2 linked regions of the Ovis aries genome follow. The protein of the gene in region 1 interacts with the protein of each later gene in a biochemical or structural test. Links are inferred from orthologs where the notes say so. Each region holds a gene or a part of one and is shown on either strand. Other genes may lie near its edges.

Region 1 (8,763 bases):
AATGATAACTCCTGTTCCAGTTCTACCAGCCATTTTAGTTGTGGAGTTAGTTTTATAGAACCTCTTTGATGGCTCCTTTAGCTGACAGAAGGAACTCAAAAGATACCTGATGTCTTTCATATAAGTTTACCTGGTTTCCTCCTACTGAAGAATGATTTCTCATCAGAAATGACTGGGACAATTTGGGAAAGTCAGTTAAAAGCAAGAATAATTCATTACAAAAGCAGACAGAAGAAAACAGTATATTTGCCTTTTTTTTTTTTCTTTTCTGCCCCCCAGGAAGTCTGGAGAAAAAGTCCTCCCATCACCAGTTTCTCTGCTGCATGAATTTTAGTGTTTTGCTGTAAGACAGCATGAGGGTTATCAGACTAAAATTTGTTATTGTATTTTCAGTACAATTTGTCTTGAATGTTAAGTCAGTTTTGTCAGTATTCTTTCAGCAAACATTCTTTCCATTATGTAAATTTAAATTTTCAGAGGAAATTAAATCAGAGCAAATTTTCAGAGTCCTTTACCTTCTTTGTCTTTTATCTCTGTGTCCTTTGGAAAAGAAGCTGCGTGGCCTTGGTTCCTCCACAGAAAGCTTAAGTTGATTTCATAGCTCATTAACCTCAGAGGCCATGGGTAATAATGAAGCACCCCCATTACAGGATGGCACGCCAGTATGTTTTTGTAAAATGTGTTGGTAATCCTCATTCTACTTTCTAAACAGGAGCCTATTCTAGGAGTGTGCATTGATTCATTCTGGTTTGAACAGTCTCCTATTTGATATATAGGAGACCTATTGACTTAAGAGTATTGCCCCCTGTTGGCATTTGTGTGGGACAGTCCATCCTGCTACCGCTGAAGTTCTTTGAGAAAACTAAAGAACTAGAAATGTTTAGAGCTCATGAAATAATCTCTAAACCCAATTTAAAAAGTGACCCTGTCATAAAAACTAAGTTAATAAAAAGTTCATTTCCTTAAACAGTCTTCATTTAAAAACTGAAGACTATTCTCACTCAGTTAACTAAAGTAGCTGGAATTGGAAAATTTTACAATTTCTACCTAAAGAATTTAGGTTAAATTTACTTGGTACTGAAATGGCTATCCTACTAACTGACCAACTTCTCAGCTCTTTTTGACCAGGATGGTTGTACATTAAGGAAGTTATCTTTATGCCCTATATTCAATCCAAGAGGACTCTAATTACTTAAAACATTTAGGTCATAATTATAATAATTTTCATTTCCCCCATAAAATAAGCATTATGATTGCACACTTCTTCTATTGTCTGAATTTATGTAAGAGGGTATAGCTTGCTTAAAATATATATGTAAAGTTATATTTTCTTAGAAACATGGATGTTTGCAACCATTGCTTTTGAAGAGATTACTGTCATGTATTGTTTTACGTTTTCATAAAGATTGTGTTATACCAGAGGCTTCTGATTATCAAAGTGATAACCAGTTTTAACTGCCTGTATGTACCAGATTTGTGAACTAGTTTTTAAAAAAAAAACGCAGAAACAAACTATGAATAAAATGGAGTTTGCAAACTAAATACCATTCATAATTTTCACTTGTGTTTATTATCAACTGAAATTAATCAAGAAAGCCATTCACATTTAGTGAAAGTAAATTTCCTCAAGTGATCTCCCTGGTAGCATGTTTACTCATTACTTGGGGAGTGGAGATAGGATTACTTTATTGCTGCAGATATTACTACTGGTATTTCTAGTGTTATTTAGCACTTCTTTTGACATTTTATGTAAATATGCAAACAAGTAAGAACCCAAGACTCTAAACTATGACAAAACAGTCTCCAACACAAAAGCAAAAAACACTGAGGCTTTCGGAAATGTATAAAACAACCAGAACCTCCAAATTAATTTGAAAGCTGCTTTCCTAAAACTTAGCCTTTATTTATTACTTTCAAGGTTTTATATATCTAAAGTTTTAGCCCTGGGTGCTTTCATTTGCCTTCCAATTATATTATTTTCATCTATTAATTACAAGCCATTTTAATTGGGTTACTCCATCATTATGTTAAGTATGTCAAGAACTTTCACTACCAACTAATTCCTCTTTACATCTCACCCATTTGATATCAGTAATATTCTACAAGTCTCAGAGGGCTTATTTGACAAACCTAATTATTCCCAGCTTACCTCTGAGGTAAACTAACCACTCCTGGACTGTTTCACCTGTGCCCTCCCATGATTTAGCTACATCTGTCAAAAGTATATTCAAAATGTGAACTTGCTATGCACAGAAAAATGAAAACAACAAGGCTTAAGTAAGGCTAAGTAACTGAACAACAAACCGAAGATCATCTTGTACAAAGGCTAAAGTAATTTAGATCCAGTTATTAAATTCAGAGTGGAAGTACTGTAGTAAGGTATCTTAGCCAATTCAAAATTGTTAAAACATTTAAATAATTTATACAGTATAAGCTCTTTCACTAATCACAATTATTCTTCCATTATTTCTTCCAATTGCTATTCATAAGTAGTTTTACATAATTGCTAACAATATAATTGCTCTACTTTTAATATTATTTCAGGTATGCCTTTCCATTTAATCTGGGAATTCTGTTTCTCATTTGTACTCCCTGCATATCATTCTGTTAGACAACTGTACTTGTTTAATCTTTTCCTCATTTTTGGATAGCTAGATTTTTCCAATTCTTTTTCTGTTATAAAGATAGTAAGTAACTTAAAGTTTCCAATTTAAGTAGGTATGAAATAGTGCCTTCTGGCTGCCTTATTTTTCCAAACGTTTAATTACCTGCAAAGTTTAACATGTTTTAAAATGTTGGTTTTCTTATATTCTTGATGTTCTCTGAACATCTGTATACTGGGGACTTACGAGATATAAATACAGCACGCATTTCCTTCTAGTCTAATGCCACCCTCAGCTCAGAAATGAGATTATTTTCCAATTATAGGATGATAACCTGACCGCAGCCTTGAAATTAAAAGACGCTTACTCCTTGGAAGAAAAGTTATGACCAACCTAGATAGCATATTCAAAAGCAGACATTACTTTGCCAACAAAGGTCCATCTAGTCAAGGCTATGGTTTTTCCTGTGGTCATGTATGGATGTGAGAGTTGGACTGTGAAGAAAGCTGAGCGCCGAAGAATTGATGCTTTGGAACTGTGGTGCTGGAGAAGACTCTTGAGAGTCCCTTGGACTGCAAGGAGATCCAACCAATCCATTCTAAAGGAGGTCAGCCCTGGGTGTTCTTTGGAAGGAATGATGCTAAAGCTGAAGCTCCAGTATTTCGGCCACCTCATGCGAAGAGTTGACTCATTGGAAAAGACTGATGCTGGGAGGGATTGGGGGCAGGAGGAAGAGGGGACGACAGAGGATGAGATGGCTGGATGGCATCACTGACTAGATGGACGTGAGTCTGAGTGAACTCCGGGAGATGGTGATGGACAGGGAGGCCTGGCGTGCTGCGATTCATGGGGTCGCAAAGAGTCGGACACGACTGAGCGACTGAAATGAACTGAACTGAACTGAACCCGACAGTAGAACTGTAACAAATGTAACTGGAAAGGATTCTACGGCAAATTAAAATCGGAAATCTGTTTTGTAAACTTTTTTTCTTCAGAGAAGATGCTTAATCCTGCTACAGCACTCTTGAATGTGGGGATATAGCTTCCATTCATTCAGCTGCTCACACCATTTGGCTGGAAAACCTAATCATCCCGTTTCCTGTTGGGCTACAATCCTGAACTTGAATCTTTGTCACCCAGTACAGCCTGCGAGGAGCGAGGCCCCAGACTTGGGGGCCACAAGGGTGTGCTAAGGCTGGGGGCGCACCGGCGAGCACAGATGCCCCCTCGGGCGGCCCTCCGCCAGAGCGCCTAGCAGGCTCTCGGTGCCCGGCTGGGCCGGGAGCCCCCTCCCATCCATCCTCAGGGCGGGGCCAGGCCCCTCAGCCCACCTCTGACCACTTCACCTCCCGCAGTCCCGCTCTTGCCGCCTTTTTAGGCCCCTCCCTTTCGACCGCGCCCGTCACGGCGCTCAGGTCCTGTCTCCCCGCCCCAGCGACGCCTTCGCCACCGAGCCCACCACTTTCCACTCCTCCCCACATCTAATCCTCCCAGATTCGGCCTGCTGGAACGCCCCCGCCCCCCGTCGTTCAATAGTAGCCGCCCCGACCTGCTCTGGGTCACCCTCAGCCCCTCATTTCCCGGAGAAAGACCATACGTTCTCCGGTCCGTGGAGCGGGTGGGGCGAGGCTCCGCAGCCCGTTTTACGACAACTTGCGGCCGCGCGGCGCGCCTGACGGCAACGCCGCGCTGCTCTTGGAGAGGTCACTCCGGAGACGGCGTTGGTTTTGGGGTGTGGGGGCCGTGGCACTATGTGGCGCGTCTGTGCGCGACGGGCTCAGAATGCAGCCCCCCGGGCGGGATTCGGGGCTCGGTGGACGGCCTTTCGGGAGGAGCCGGGAGCTCGGTGCGTGACCCCGCAGGCTGGCTCGGCTCTGGCTCGCTACAGCAGCAAGACCCCAGGATATGGCAGGGTCCGGGCACTCTGCGGCTGGAGCCCCGTCTCTTGGGCCACACCGCGGAATCGCGTCTTGCTGCAGCTCTGGGGATCGCCTAGCCGCCGCTGGTACAGCCTCCCCCCGCATCAGAAGGTAAGCCCCAGAACCTGTCCTTCGCGGGACCCCGTTGTCCTTCACGGCAGACTTGTTGGCTTGGGATCCTTCCTTAGAGGCCTTGATGATCCTCCGTCTCCGCCCCCCTCCAGGTATACTCTGTCACTGTCCCTTCTCCATTACCCAGCTTTGCTCTACCTCTTGAGCTTCCCTCTCCTGACCTATGCCATTGAAGAAGGAGCTGCAGGCTTCCTTCTGACCGGTTCCGTTCAAAGAGCGCCAAGCCTGGGGCGGTCTGTGGAATGTCTGCTGAGTACATGCTGTTAGACCCACCCAGTACAGCGGAACGGGAGATCTGTCCTTCTGGTTGAGAGCTTTTGGTGTTAGGAAATCCCTTTATAAGCCCATTGCCCAATGTGTGAAGAGACTCAGACTCAGCATTAAATTAGTCTGAATTGAACGAGGTGTTACACCAGATTGGGAGTTAGGTAGCTCTTAAAAATGAGTATTTCTCCCTTTTCTCCTCTAGGTTCCATTGCCTTCACTGTCCCCTACAATGCAGGCAGGTACCATAGCCCGGTGGGAAAAGAAGGAAGGAGAAAAAATCAATGAGGGTGAACTAATTGCAGAGGTAAGTTGTAAATGAGTTAGAAGAGACTAGCTTAGACTAAACGGAGCCTTAACTTTCTGAGTAGGTAATTATCCCTTTTTTCTGGAGAATTCCGTGGACAGAGGAGCCTGATGGGCTGCTGTCCATGGGGTCACAAAGAGTCGGACACGACTGAAGCAACTTAGCATGCATGCATGCATTGGAGAAGAAAGTGGTGACCCACTCCAGTGTTCTTGCCTGGAGAATCCCAGAGATGGAGGAGCCTGGTGGGCTGCCATCTATGGGGTTGCAGAGAGTTGGACAGGACTGAAGCGACTTAGCATGGATGCATTAAGAAACTTAGATGTTTTTTACAGTTTGATATGAGAGATTGGTTAGCCAAGTTAGCAGCAACTAACCAAACTGATTTTTAGCCTGGGTGTTTTTAATAGTAATTCTTTCAAACCTGTGATAGAGGCTTTATTTTCACTGTTGAACTGTATGATTTTTTTTTTCATTGCTGTATGATTGATTTACAATGTTGTGTTAAATACTCTTGTCCATTATGGTTTATCACAGATACCAAATGTAGTTCCCTGTGCTATATAGTAGGACCATGTTGCTCTCCATTCAGTATGTAATAGTTTGCATCTGCAAACCCCCAAATCCTACTCTGTTCTTTCCCTGCCCCACCCCCCGATCACAAGTCTATTCTCTGTGAGTTCATTTCTGTTTCGTAGATAAGTTCATTTGTGCCATTTTAGATTCCACATATTTTTCTTTCTTTTTCTGACTGACTTCACTTTGAACTGTATGATTTTAGACACAAGTTAATAAAACTTGATACTGGCAGCAGAAGCCTAAGCTCCTGCTTTTGTGTTAAAAGGTTGAAACCGATAAAGCTACTGTTGGATTTGAGAGTGTGGAGGAGTGTTACATGGCAAAGATCCTTGTTGCTGAAGGTACCAGAGATGTTCCAGTTGGAGCAATCATCTGTATCACAGTTGAAAAGTGAGTAGGATCAGGGGAATCTGTGAAAGTCAGGTGCTTAAGTGGAGTATTTTAACCTATAACTGAGGAGTTAGTTAAAGGCTTCTAAGGCTGATACATGTGCTTTATAACCCCTTTATACTTACATGTTCTTTCTTTTTCTTAGGCCTGAAGATGTTGAAGCCTTTAAAAATTACACACTGGATTCTTCAGCAGCACCTGCCCCACAAGCAGCCCCGGCACCAACCCCTGCCGCCGCCGCTCCATCACCTGCGCCTTCTGCTCAGGCTCCTGGTAGCTCATATCCTACTCACATGCAGGTGAGGCTCAGCCTCTGGGTGTCTGCTTTAGAAAATTTATTATTTACTCATTATTTTTCATAGATGAGTCGCATCCTGGAAACTAGCATTAAACCTGGCTAGTTTTTGTCATTTGAAAGTAAATAGAGATTTAAACATGAAAATTGACAACATTTGTTCTTAGTGGTTATTTCCAGATGTGTGTACTTGGATAGTTCTTTTAACCTTTCTCAGCCTCAGTGTAGCAGGTAGGATAATGTTTGGTACTTTTCATTCAAGAATATCATGTTGGATTTTGAGGATAGTTTGTACTTGTACTTTGCCATGCTAAGTCGCTTCAGTCGTGTCCGATTCTGTGATCCTGTGGACTGTAGCCCACCAGGCTCCTCTGTCCATGGAATTCTCCAGGCAGGAGTACTGGAGTGGGTTGCCATGTCCTCCTCCAGGGGATCTTCCCAACCCAGGGATCAAACCTGTGTCTCTTTTATGTCTCCTGCATCGGCAGGTAGATTCTTTACCACTGAGCCACCAGGGAAGCCTCTTTCCTGAGCTCTCTGTTTGCACATTGTGGGACAGTGTTATCCATGCTTTAGAAAACGGTGATGGCTATTATGTGAATTTCTCTGAGCAACAAAAGAAAAATACTATTGACTATAGTCTTTAAAAGTTAAGCAAGAATTTGTAACTGATCATTAGCTTTTTTTAGTATTAATTTATTTTTTAATGGAAGGATAATTGCTTTACAGAATTTTGTTATCAGCCAAATATCAACATGAATCAGCCATAGATCATTAGCTTTTAAGGAGTTGAATTTCATCAACTTTAACTTAATATGGTGGCTCTGTGGTAAAGAATTTGCCTGCCAATGCAGGAGACGTGGGTTTGATCCCTGGGTTGAGAAGATCCCCTGGAATAGGAAATGGCAACCCACTTCAGTATTCTTGGTGGGAAAATCCCATAGATAGAGGAGCTTGGTGGGCTACAGTTCGAGGGATTGCAAATACAGTGAGGCATGACTGAGTACAAGCCGTGACATAAAGATAGATATTGCTTGAACATTAATACCCAGGTTAGAATTGAAATTAAGCCAGTAACATTGCTGAGTGATTTATCACTTGACCAGTTTTAACATGCCATTTTAATAGCAAGATGTCAGGATGTGTAGAAAGAAGTCTTCCTTAAAATAATTATTTGGGAAAGGCTCAGAATAAAAGTGACCTACACATGTAAAAAGATAAAAAAATTAATTGTCCAAAAATTTTGTGACTTTATTCAGGGCAAAAATGTTATGGGAGTTGGGGCATAAAAACTGTGTCAGAATTTTTTTCCTCAGTCCTGAGTTTCTTCCTCTTCTGAGGTTATGGTTGGTTACTTTCTATATTCTTCCTCCTGCTAAAGACCTTTGGATCCTTTTGTTAATTTGTTATTATACAGTACCTAAGAGGCAATGGCAACCCACTCTAGTACTCTTGCCTGGAAAATCCATGGACGGAGGAGCCTGGTAGGCCGCAGTCCATGAGGTCATGAAGAGTCGGACACGACTGAGCAACTTCACTTTCACTTTTCACTTTCATGCATTGGAGAAGGAAATGGCAACCCACTCCAGTGTTCTTGCCTGGAGAATCCCAGCGATGACGGAGCCTGGTGGGCTGCCGTCTATGGGGTCACACAGAGTCGGACACGACTGAAGTGACTTAGCAGCAGCAGCAGCAGCAGTATCGGCAGGCAGGTTCTTTACCGCTAGCACCACCTGGGAAACCCACTTATATATACTCCCTGTATAGAGTTTTTTTAGTAGGCGTGAAGTGCTGTCTATTGAATAAAAGCCCCCAGTTAGTGTTTTTCCTTGACATGTAGTGTTCTGTTTTCTCAGAGTAAGTGAAATAATCCAGTAGTATTTAGAAAAGACTAACAATAAAGAATAAGCGTCAAATAGACATATATAATCTGGAGGAGGGCATGGTAATCTACTCCAGTATTCTTGCCTGGAGAATCCTCATGGACAGAGGAGCATGGAGGGCTACATTCCATGGGGTCTCAAAGAGTCAGACATGACTGAGCGATTCAGCACAGACATGTATAATAGCGTCACAACAAAGCTGAAGGTGGTAAATGTAGTCACTGTTGATTCTGTTAACTAAATCAGTGTCTACTGATTAGTTTATTAGATATTAGGATTACCCCCTGTATATTTGTGTGTTTTGGATATTGGAAATGGATAAAAGCCAGCTGCATTTTTTCCTAAAGAATTAAGACTAGAACTTTTTCTTCTCTTAGATTATTTGTAGAAA
Region 2 (8,763 bases), on another chromosome or scaffold:
GATTGAACCTGGGTCTCCTGCATCGCAGGCAGACTCTTTACCGTCTGAGTCACCAAGGAAGTCTTTCTGACAAGAAAGCTGGAAATTACTACTCAGAAAAGCCTAGAGGCAGATCTTCAATTCAGCTTCAGCTGCCTCAGGTGGCCCCCTGTGGCAGCTGTCTGCCCTCTACCCTCTCTATGAGAGCCCACTGCCTCACTTTCAATGCTGGGATTTGTCACTGATTGACAGTGAAATGGTCTAGTTCCTCCAAGAAAACCCCAGCCCCTACCCACAACCAGTGACCAGAGACCTCAGTTCTCCAAATCTGGGTTATTCTCTACGTCAGAAAAAACACACATGTAGGTCGTCAAAGCCTAGCTCGAGTTGATCAGAGTTCAGTCCAGCCCGGTCCAGTCCTTTGCTGCCACTGAAGAATGAAGTGGGATCTATATATCGCTTTGACCCAGGCCCAGCCCCCATCTCCTGTGAGCACTTGTTTGGATGAAAACATACCATCTGTCTCACACACACTTGTGAAAGTAAGTAGACATTTTCAGGACTGTTTCAGCTACACTTTCATGAAAGAAACATACTGGCAGAGATCCAGCAATGCCCACTTTATAGAAAAGAACCCTGTATTATGCCAAGTTTATTGAGTTCCTTGGAGCTGCAGTACCTCCAAACACTTTAAAAGAAGTGTCTTGGCTCTTGTATCAGTTAAAAAAAAAAAAACCCATCAGATGATTCTCCCTCTCCTGGGCACAGGGCTGGATTGCACTTCCTAGGTCCTCCTGGTTGGATGATGCCATTCTGGCCAATGAGTTGTCAGCCGGAGGGAAGGGGATCAGTTTTGGGCTGAGACAGTTAATTGCTGGGTGAGACTCTCCCAGTTCTGCTTCTCCCAGCTCTGACGCTGTGGAAGCCTGTGTTGAGATAAAGTTTCTGTCAGTCTGAGTCCCTGAGAACGCCCCACCAACCCAAGTTGAACATATAGTGGAAAATTTGGGGATTTGTGCCTTTTGTTACCTGTACTCCATTCAGCTAGCAATTAGGTCATTGACGATTTTGGTGAGTGCAGAAGAATGGGTAGGTGAAAGTGAGAAGAAAGAATGATCCATGGGTAGGAGACCGTATTTGCAACAGTGGGAAGATTGAAGTCTGGTTCAAGGCACTAGATAAGTATGGGTGGGACTTGAGCAGGGGAGTGCGGAAGAGATGAGGCTAGAGAGTTAAAGTAGATCATGTGAGAACTGGAAAGGCTCCTGTAAGAAGTGAAAGCCAAGGCTGTGAGCAAGGGAAGTAACACCTTCAGATTTGCAGTGGAAGATGGTACCTGAACCTGTTTGCTCAACTGTAAAATGGTGGTAACAGCAGCACGGTAGAGCTATCTGGAGAATTCAATGACATGATGCATGCAAAGAGTGCCTGGCATATGGAATATTATTCATTCAGCTAAGAGAGTCCCTTCCATTGTGAAGCCTTGCACACAGCTCTGCACTGGTTACAACTGCATCTGTTGTTAACTATTTAATTATTTACTTATGCAGCTCTCTCAACTGAGAAATGAAACAATCAAGCCAAAAGACCATGTCCCAATCCTGTCTGTGTATCCCAATCCAGTCTGTGTTTCCCATTCCCAGCATATAAACCTAGCAACTATTTGGCACTTGGTGAGTGTGGGCCAAGGATTGAAGTGGAAAAACACCTCATAGGGGCAAGTGGGTGGGATACCGGGACAGGACATATCTGGCGTTGGACCACAAGAGGACGAGCTTTGTTCCCATGAGAGATCCGGACTGCTGTGAAGTGCCGGCTCTTGGCCTCCAGCACAGATCATCTTCCAGGACCTTTCTCTAAGAAAGCCAAGTGCGAAAAAGGTTGCTTTCTCGGGTCAAATGCTGCTGCTAAGTCGCTTCAGTCGTGTCCGACTCTGTGCGACCCCATAGACGGCAGCCCACCAGGCTCCCCCGTCCCTGGGATTCTCCAGGCAAGAACACTGGAATGGGTTGCCATTTCCTTCTCCAGTGCGTGAAAGTGAAAAGTGAAAGTGAAGTCGCTCAGTCGTGCCCGAATCTTAGCGACCCCATGGACTGCAGCCTACCAGGCTCTTCCATCCATGGGATTTTCCAGGCAAGAATACTGGAGTGGGTTGCCATTACCTTATCCAAGAGTAGAGAATAATAAAGGTGATTTTAAAAGTTCATTGTAGCCGCCGCTAGGCGTTAATGAGGGGGTTGACTCGGTGTTTTTTAACTGGAAAAGCAAAATGCTGCCTTGTCCTGAGCTGCTTGGATCTTTGTGGAAGTAGCTGTGTTACACGTCTATGTGAGGGATTAGCATGGGCTCGCATCCCGGTTCATCCACAGTCCGAGTCACAGTCGTCCAGACTGGGAACCCACCAGACGCCCTGAGGGAGAGCAGGTGGGTGGAAGTCGGGACAGGTGAATCGGGCCCTCGCGGGCGGAAGAGGATGCGTTGAAAGCTCTCGAACAACCTCCGGGCAGGCAAGTGAAGGAGATTCGGGGAGGGAACGGCGAAACGGAGTGTAAGAGGAAAGGGAATAACGGGCCTTTCGGGAGGGAGGGGTTAATCCGGGCTAGGCCGGGAGGAAGAACTCGCGTAGTGACGCCGGGGAGGCGGGCTCTCGGCGCTGCCTCTTGAAAACAGCAGGCCGCTCGGGGCAAACACTGGGTTAAGGGGGCGGGCCCAGGGGGGAGCCACGTGCCGGGGGGAGAGGCTATTGGCTCTCCTGGAGTTGTTTGTGAGACGCCATTAGCGACGTCGGGGCGCCGCAACAAGCCAATTGGCCGGGACTCGGAGCCCAGTCGGGGTCGCGGTGGGGAGGAGGCGGCCGCCGCGGCACCGGGCTGGGCTGGGCTGAGCCGAGCGCCAGCGCTGCCCGCGCAGGGTCCAGAACCCGAGCCCGAGAAGTGGTCGCCACCGCCATGCGCTGGGTCCGCGCGCTGCTGAAGAATGCGTCCCTGGCAGGGGCTCCCAAATACATCGAGCACTTCAGCAAGTTCTCCCCATCGCCGCTGTCCATGAAGCAGTTTCTGGACTTCGGTACGAGTGAGCAGGAGGCGGCTGGCCCCGGGGGTCTGCGAGGGGCAGGAGTGGGGAGGCTGAGTGACAGGGAAGGTTTGCTTGCAAACCTTGGAGTCCAGACAGGAAAGAGTTAACGGGGAGGCAGGGGCCAGTTGGGTTTGAAAGGGTTAAGGGCACCCCGGCTGAAGAGACTGGACTGTTAGGGGGAAGTGGGGGCACTGAGAAGGAGGGGGTCCACGGTATCTTACTGGGTTTTGCGAAGAGTCTTGGGAGAGGAAGGGGCAGTGAGTCAGTGCCGTTGGAGCAGGAGGGTGTATCCAGGCACTGAAGGGTTACTAGGGATTGTCCTGGAGACTCCAAGAGTAAAGGTCAGAGAGGAAAATGGGGGGTGTTGTAGGAGTGACTAGGGGGCATTGCGAGCCTTCGGGAAGGAGACCTGCCCTGGGGGTCTGTTAGCGGGAGGGACTCTTTCAAATGAGTCAACAGGAGAGACGCCCTGACTGGTACACCTCCCCCCACTGAAAGAGCTGGCCCCCAGCTGTCTTGGAGGACAAGGACGCTTGAAGATCAAATCTGCTGTGGCCTGGCCGTCTGTCTCCAGCTGGGTAGGGGTCCAGGGCACCATGAAATGGAGTCAGACAGCTTGTACCCATCCTTGGCTGCCCCTGGGTTCCTGGGCCAGGGTCACCTACCACCAGTGATCGGGGAGTGGGAAGGCTGTGCCAACATGGTGACTGAAACAGGCATTGTTTAGACAGTTTCTGTTCGCACGGAATTTCTATGGTGCCAGCTAGGGACTAGAAGGGGTTGCCCAGGTCTCTCAAGAGTTGAGGGGACAGTGCCTGGCTCAGGTTACAGCTGCGTCACTGATGGGAGGGGGCGGGGAGGTGGCAGCCAGGACACAGGGCATCTGTTGCCCGATTACTTGTTCACCTGCTTCCCTCCGTGTTTGAGCTCCTGCCATGTAGGAAAGCTGCCTGAGCCCGCTCCCAGCCTCCAGCAGTTGTCTAGTCCAGACTGGACCCCAGTTAACAGAACTGTCACAGCAGGGAGGGACTCACAGTAGAGTGGTCCACTTGGAGTTCAGTGGGTAAAGCAGATCTTCAGAGGGATAGTGACATGCCCTGGGTGACAGAGTTAAAAGCAGAACCTGGACTTAGAACCCAGGTCTCCTGACTCTAGGCCATGACCTCATTCAGTCCTCTACTCACTCTTCATCTTCAAGCCAGACCAAGAATCTAAGTATCTGGGCCCTAGTTCCCCGACCCTGTCTACCTCTCAGGTGGGTGGGCATTAATGTAGGGGCAAGTCTATTGTGGACATAAAGACCACCTGGGCCAAGATGATGCCAGGACCCTATGGCTGCAGCGGTCTGAGCATAGCTTCTCTCAGCCAGGGGAGCTCATCTCAAGGTAGGATGGGTTTCCCAGGCTCCTCTGCCCACAAGCCCTGCAAAGTGAGAGTCTACTAGGAGGGAAAGAAAGAGAAGTGAGATAACTTGGGCTAGAGGCAGCACCCAGGGGGCCCAGGGTGGCCCTGTCCCCTGTGGTTGAAGGCAAGCAGGGTTCAGCTGGAGGTGGCGAAAGGACACCACCTCCCTAAGGGTTAGGCTGGGTGGTGTGGTGGCCACTGCATGGGTCAGGAGGGGCCCCTTGTCCTGTGCCTCCTTGTCTTCTTGTCTCTCCTGAACCGTCAGGAAATGAAGTATTTAGTGACCTGACCCCTTCCCCACCACTAGGAGGTCTTCTGGCTCCAGTGCTTTGTAACTCTTAGGCTCACCTTTCCCTCTCCCTGCAGGGTCCAGCAATGCCTGTGAGAAAACCTCGTTCACTTTCCTCAGGCAGGAGCTGCCTGTGCGCCTGGCCAACATCATGAAGGAGATCAACCTGCTTCCTGACCGGGTGCTGAGCACACCCTCGGTGCAGCTGGTACAGAGCTGGTGAGACCCTTGGCTAGATCCCCAGGCCGCCCACTCCATTGTCAGATGCCCGATGCTCCCAGCAGCCTTGCAGGAGGTGGGGAAAGAGGAGAGGCACAGGGGCTTTGAGAGGTAGGGCAGTTCTCACAGTCAAGTGGGAATCCTAGGCCATAGCAGGGACTCAGATCAAACTTCCAGCCTCCATGTCTCTGAGACAGCCCTATACCCACCACCCTCCATTCTCTGGAAAAGGAAATCATCATTTTCACACCAAAACCCAAATCAGGCTCATGTCAGCATTTGCCACCAGCCCTGACCCTGAAAATCTAGCACCTGTTGGATAACATCTAGCTGGGGCAACTTTGTGGGAAACAGGAAGAAGTGAATCTTCAAGCTGTATAATGCAAACAAATCAGCCTGTTTTGGATGTTGGAAAACACTCAAATGGACACAAGGATGGCACAGTACCAACCCCAAAGAGCTTTAGACGGGCAAAGACCAAAAGTTTATTGCACAGAGCAGCAGTAGCAGAGAGAAATTCTCAGTGAAGTTTACTCAAAAATTTTGTCCAGGGATAAGTATTAAAAACTGAATGACATTAACCAAAAGCCAATCACATGAAGAATAATCAAAAATTTGCTCTGTAACTGGGTGTGTGAGTAGCTAATCATGGTCAATCTTCAGTGGCATGTGTGCAGAAATCTTTTGCCTGTTTTTCTGGCCGTGGCAGGTCTGGTACTACTCTGGCTTCCTTTTTGATTCGGGGTATCCACACCTACTTGGAGCTCAGTGCTGTGTTTAGGTCAGGGAAACAGCAGCAGCAGCTGCTCCTCAGGAGCCCATGATCTCATGGGGAGAATAAAAGGGGCAAGCTTAAGAGCTCCATAGTGGCAGGAGCAGTAAGCTACTGAAGAGTTTGTTTTATTTCAATTAAAAGCAAAATAATATTATTTTAAAATAATGTTGGTTTCTTCCCCTTGTTGAAGAAGTATGACATGCTTACTTTGACATTTGGAGGACACAAAGAAGTAGATAAAAGAAAATGTCAACCCCTCTCTTCCACCCTCTAACCAAACATCCAGGTTTTGTAAGTGCCCTTTATTGATGCCCTTCCAGCTTTTTTCTGTGCATGAATGTGCTATAAATGACTTATTCTAACTAAATGAGGATAAAGTAAGGAAAGACCAGGCACATGGTCTGCGCACAGTGAATTTCAGTTGAATCAGAACATTGTGGGGAAGTTGAAATGGAGGCAGAGTAGGGGTGACGTGTCACTGGGCCTTATAGGTTGCCTAAGTGAACTTTGACCTAGAAAGGAGGGTAGTGTATTCAGACCAAAGGAACTGCGTGTGCAAAGGTGTGGAGGCAGAAGAGAGCCCGGCTAGGGCATCCGAGCACTCACTTTATGGACAGGGCAGTGTTAGTGCAAGTGATGAAGGTGGATTGGGGGACAGAGGGCGGAGCCTGATTTTTGTGTGGCACAATGAGGTCACCCCTGACTGGGGCCTATCCCTTAGAGGTCCAAGACCTCCAAGCCAACCGGCATTTCCTGCCATGGGGCAGCGTGGAAGGCATGGGGAGGAGACAGAAGGTGCCATCTGTTCTCTCCATCCCTCCTCCGGCTCTGTCCAGCTGAGTGACCGGGCTGCCTTTCCAGCTGGTCCTTAACTCCAGGACAGGGCTTCTCGGGCCCCTCCTTGGACACTTGTTTCCTTGGAGAGTCAGGAGATGTGGGGAGGGAGGGCAGGGAGGTGCTGATTGCCCGTGATGCCCCCAAGGCCCATAGAGCCCCTTCTTTTTAAAAAATATTTATTTATTATGTGCTGGGTTGGGTCTGAGCTGTGGCATGTGGGATCTTCCTTGTGGCATGGGGGATCTTTCTTTACGACACATGGATTCTCTACTTGCGGTGCAGGGGCTTAGTAGCTGTAGCACACAGGCTGAGTTGCTCTGTGGCTTGTGGGCTCTTAGTTCCCTGACCAGGGATTGAGCCCATGTCCTTTGTATTGCAAGGCAGATTCTTAACCACTGGTCCATCAGGGAAGTCCCGGAGTCCCTTCTTGAAAATCAGTTACACATGTTGGGGCTTGGCCTGACTTAATTCTTCTCTCAAAGCTGGGAAGTAATGACCAGCAGGAGAGAGTGAAGTGAGACAAGAGGGAATGCTTCCCAATGGATGATTCATTTAGAGGAGAGCAGGAGAGGGCAGTGGCATCCCACTCCAGTACTCTTGCCTGGAAAATCCCATGGATGGAGGAGCCTAGTAGGCTGCAGTCCGTGCTAAGGGTCGGACACGACTGAGCGACTTCCCTTTCACTTTTCACTTTCATGCATTGGAGAAGGAAATAGCAACCCACTCCAGTGTTCTTGCCTGGAGAATCCCAGGGACGGGGGAGCCTGGTGGGCTGCCGCCTATGGGGTCGCACAGAGTCGGACACGACTGAAGTGACTTAGCAGCAGCAGACCAAGGTATTGCTAGAGTGTGCTGACACACTGAAGAGACAGCCTGCTGAGACTCTTTCCAGAGAATGGGCATCAACTGCAGCAAGAGAGATTGTGGTCTGAGGGAAGGAAGGACTTCCTGAGATAGACCTCCCTCTCCATAGGAACCCCCTTGCCAGCTTGGATGATGGAGGTGGTGGAGGTAGGCAGTTTCACGAGAGGAAGGAGACAACCTACCAGAGAGCTTGGCAAGAGGGCTACTGGCCTCAGAGACTGGTGAGTGAGCAGTAAAACCTTTCCTTTGGAAATGGACAGGACCTGTGCATGTGCTATTGGTAACAGTGGTGGCAATATTTAACGTGGCAACAGCTAATGGAGTTTCTGCTCAGCTGGGGAGAGGTTCTAGGCAGGAATCACTGTGGGGAAGTGGAGAATTCCTATTTCTAAATGAAGGTGAGTGTAGTTGCTCAGTCATGTCCGACTCTTGTGACCCCGTGGACTGTAGCCTACCAGGCTTCTCTGTCCATGGGATTCTCCAGGCAAGAATACTGGAGTGGGTTACCATTTCCTTCTCCAGGGGATATTCCCGACCCAGGGATCAAACCCGGGTCTCCCGCATTGGAGGCAGACGCTTTAACCTCTGAGCCACCAGGGAAGCCCTTTCTAAATGAACCTGATGTATTATTTCAATTGGACTGACTTGGGGTCATGGGATCCTATTTTGGAGGTGACTGGAAGGTAAAGGAAAGCCCTGGGTGTAGCACCGGCATGCCTGACTCTGAGGCTTGGCTTTTGTGCCTGCTGGACACTTAACGTTTGGCCAGCCACATGGCCCCTCTGAGTCTCGGCTTCCTCATCTGTAAAATGGGTGAGACGCCACTGCTGGATGTGGAAGTACACGGAACGCTACACACGAGTGATGTCTGTGGTCTTCTGGCAGCAACACCTTCTGGCCAAAGATAATGTGTTGTGACAGAGGTTCTCTTAAGAGTGTGGTCATGGCATGGTGGCGGGGCAGACACACCGGGAAGGCCTGCTGGCGATCAGCAGCTGCTCTGAGCCTGCCCTTACTCATTGGCCCTGCACAGCAACCTTGCGAAGCAGGCCTTTTTATCATCCCTGTTTTGTAGATGAGGAAACTGAGGTTCAGAGAGATTAAGAAACTAGTCTGAGCTCATCAGGTAGTAAGTGGTAGAGCCGGGATTCCAACCCAGGCTGTGTGATCTGGGGGCTGTGCTCGCAAAGGAAAGGGAGAGAGCCGGGTTCTGGAGGAGTCAGAGATTTCTAAGCAAAGCAAGTCAGTGGGAAAGTAGATTTTCTTTACAGAGATTGTTTGATGGCTAGCATTGCGGGGGCCCAGAGGGGTAACCTTGACA

Evidence for each region.
Region 2: the proteins of DLAT (region 1) and PDK2 form a complex in vitro, tested with the Homo sapiens proteins (2 studies listed by BioGRID). The link is inferred for Ovis aries from reciprocal best matches to the Homo sapiens genes DLAT and PDK2.

The regions. Positions count from the first base shown.
Region 1 is NC_056068.1:22,024,283-22,033,045, forward strand, and holds the start of DLAT (dihydrolipoyllysine-residue acetyltransferase component of pyruvate dehydrogenase complex, mitochondrial), read left to right. Parts: upstream 1-4,309; 5' UTR 4,310-4,354; coding exon 4,355-4,633; intron 4,634-5,123; coding exon 5,124-5,225; intron 5,226-6,069; coding exon 6,070-6,194; intron 6,195-6,339; coding exon 6,340-6,493; intron 6,494-8,763.
Region 2 is NC_056064.1:36,289,167-36,297,929, reverse strand, and holds the start of PDK2 (pyruvate dehydrogenase kinase, isozyme 2), read left to right. Parts: upstream 1-2,805; 5' UTR 2,806-2,927; coding exon 2,928-3,045; intron 3,046-3,405; exon of another isoform or gene 3,406-4,369; coding exon of another isoform or gene 4,370-4,439; intron 4,440-4,824; coding exon 4,825-4,966; intron 4,967-8,763. UniProt on the Homo sapiens protein: Kinase that plays a key role in the regulation of glucose and fatty acid metabolism and homeostasis via phosphorylation of the pyruvate dehydrogenase subunits PDHA1 and PDHA2.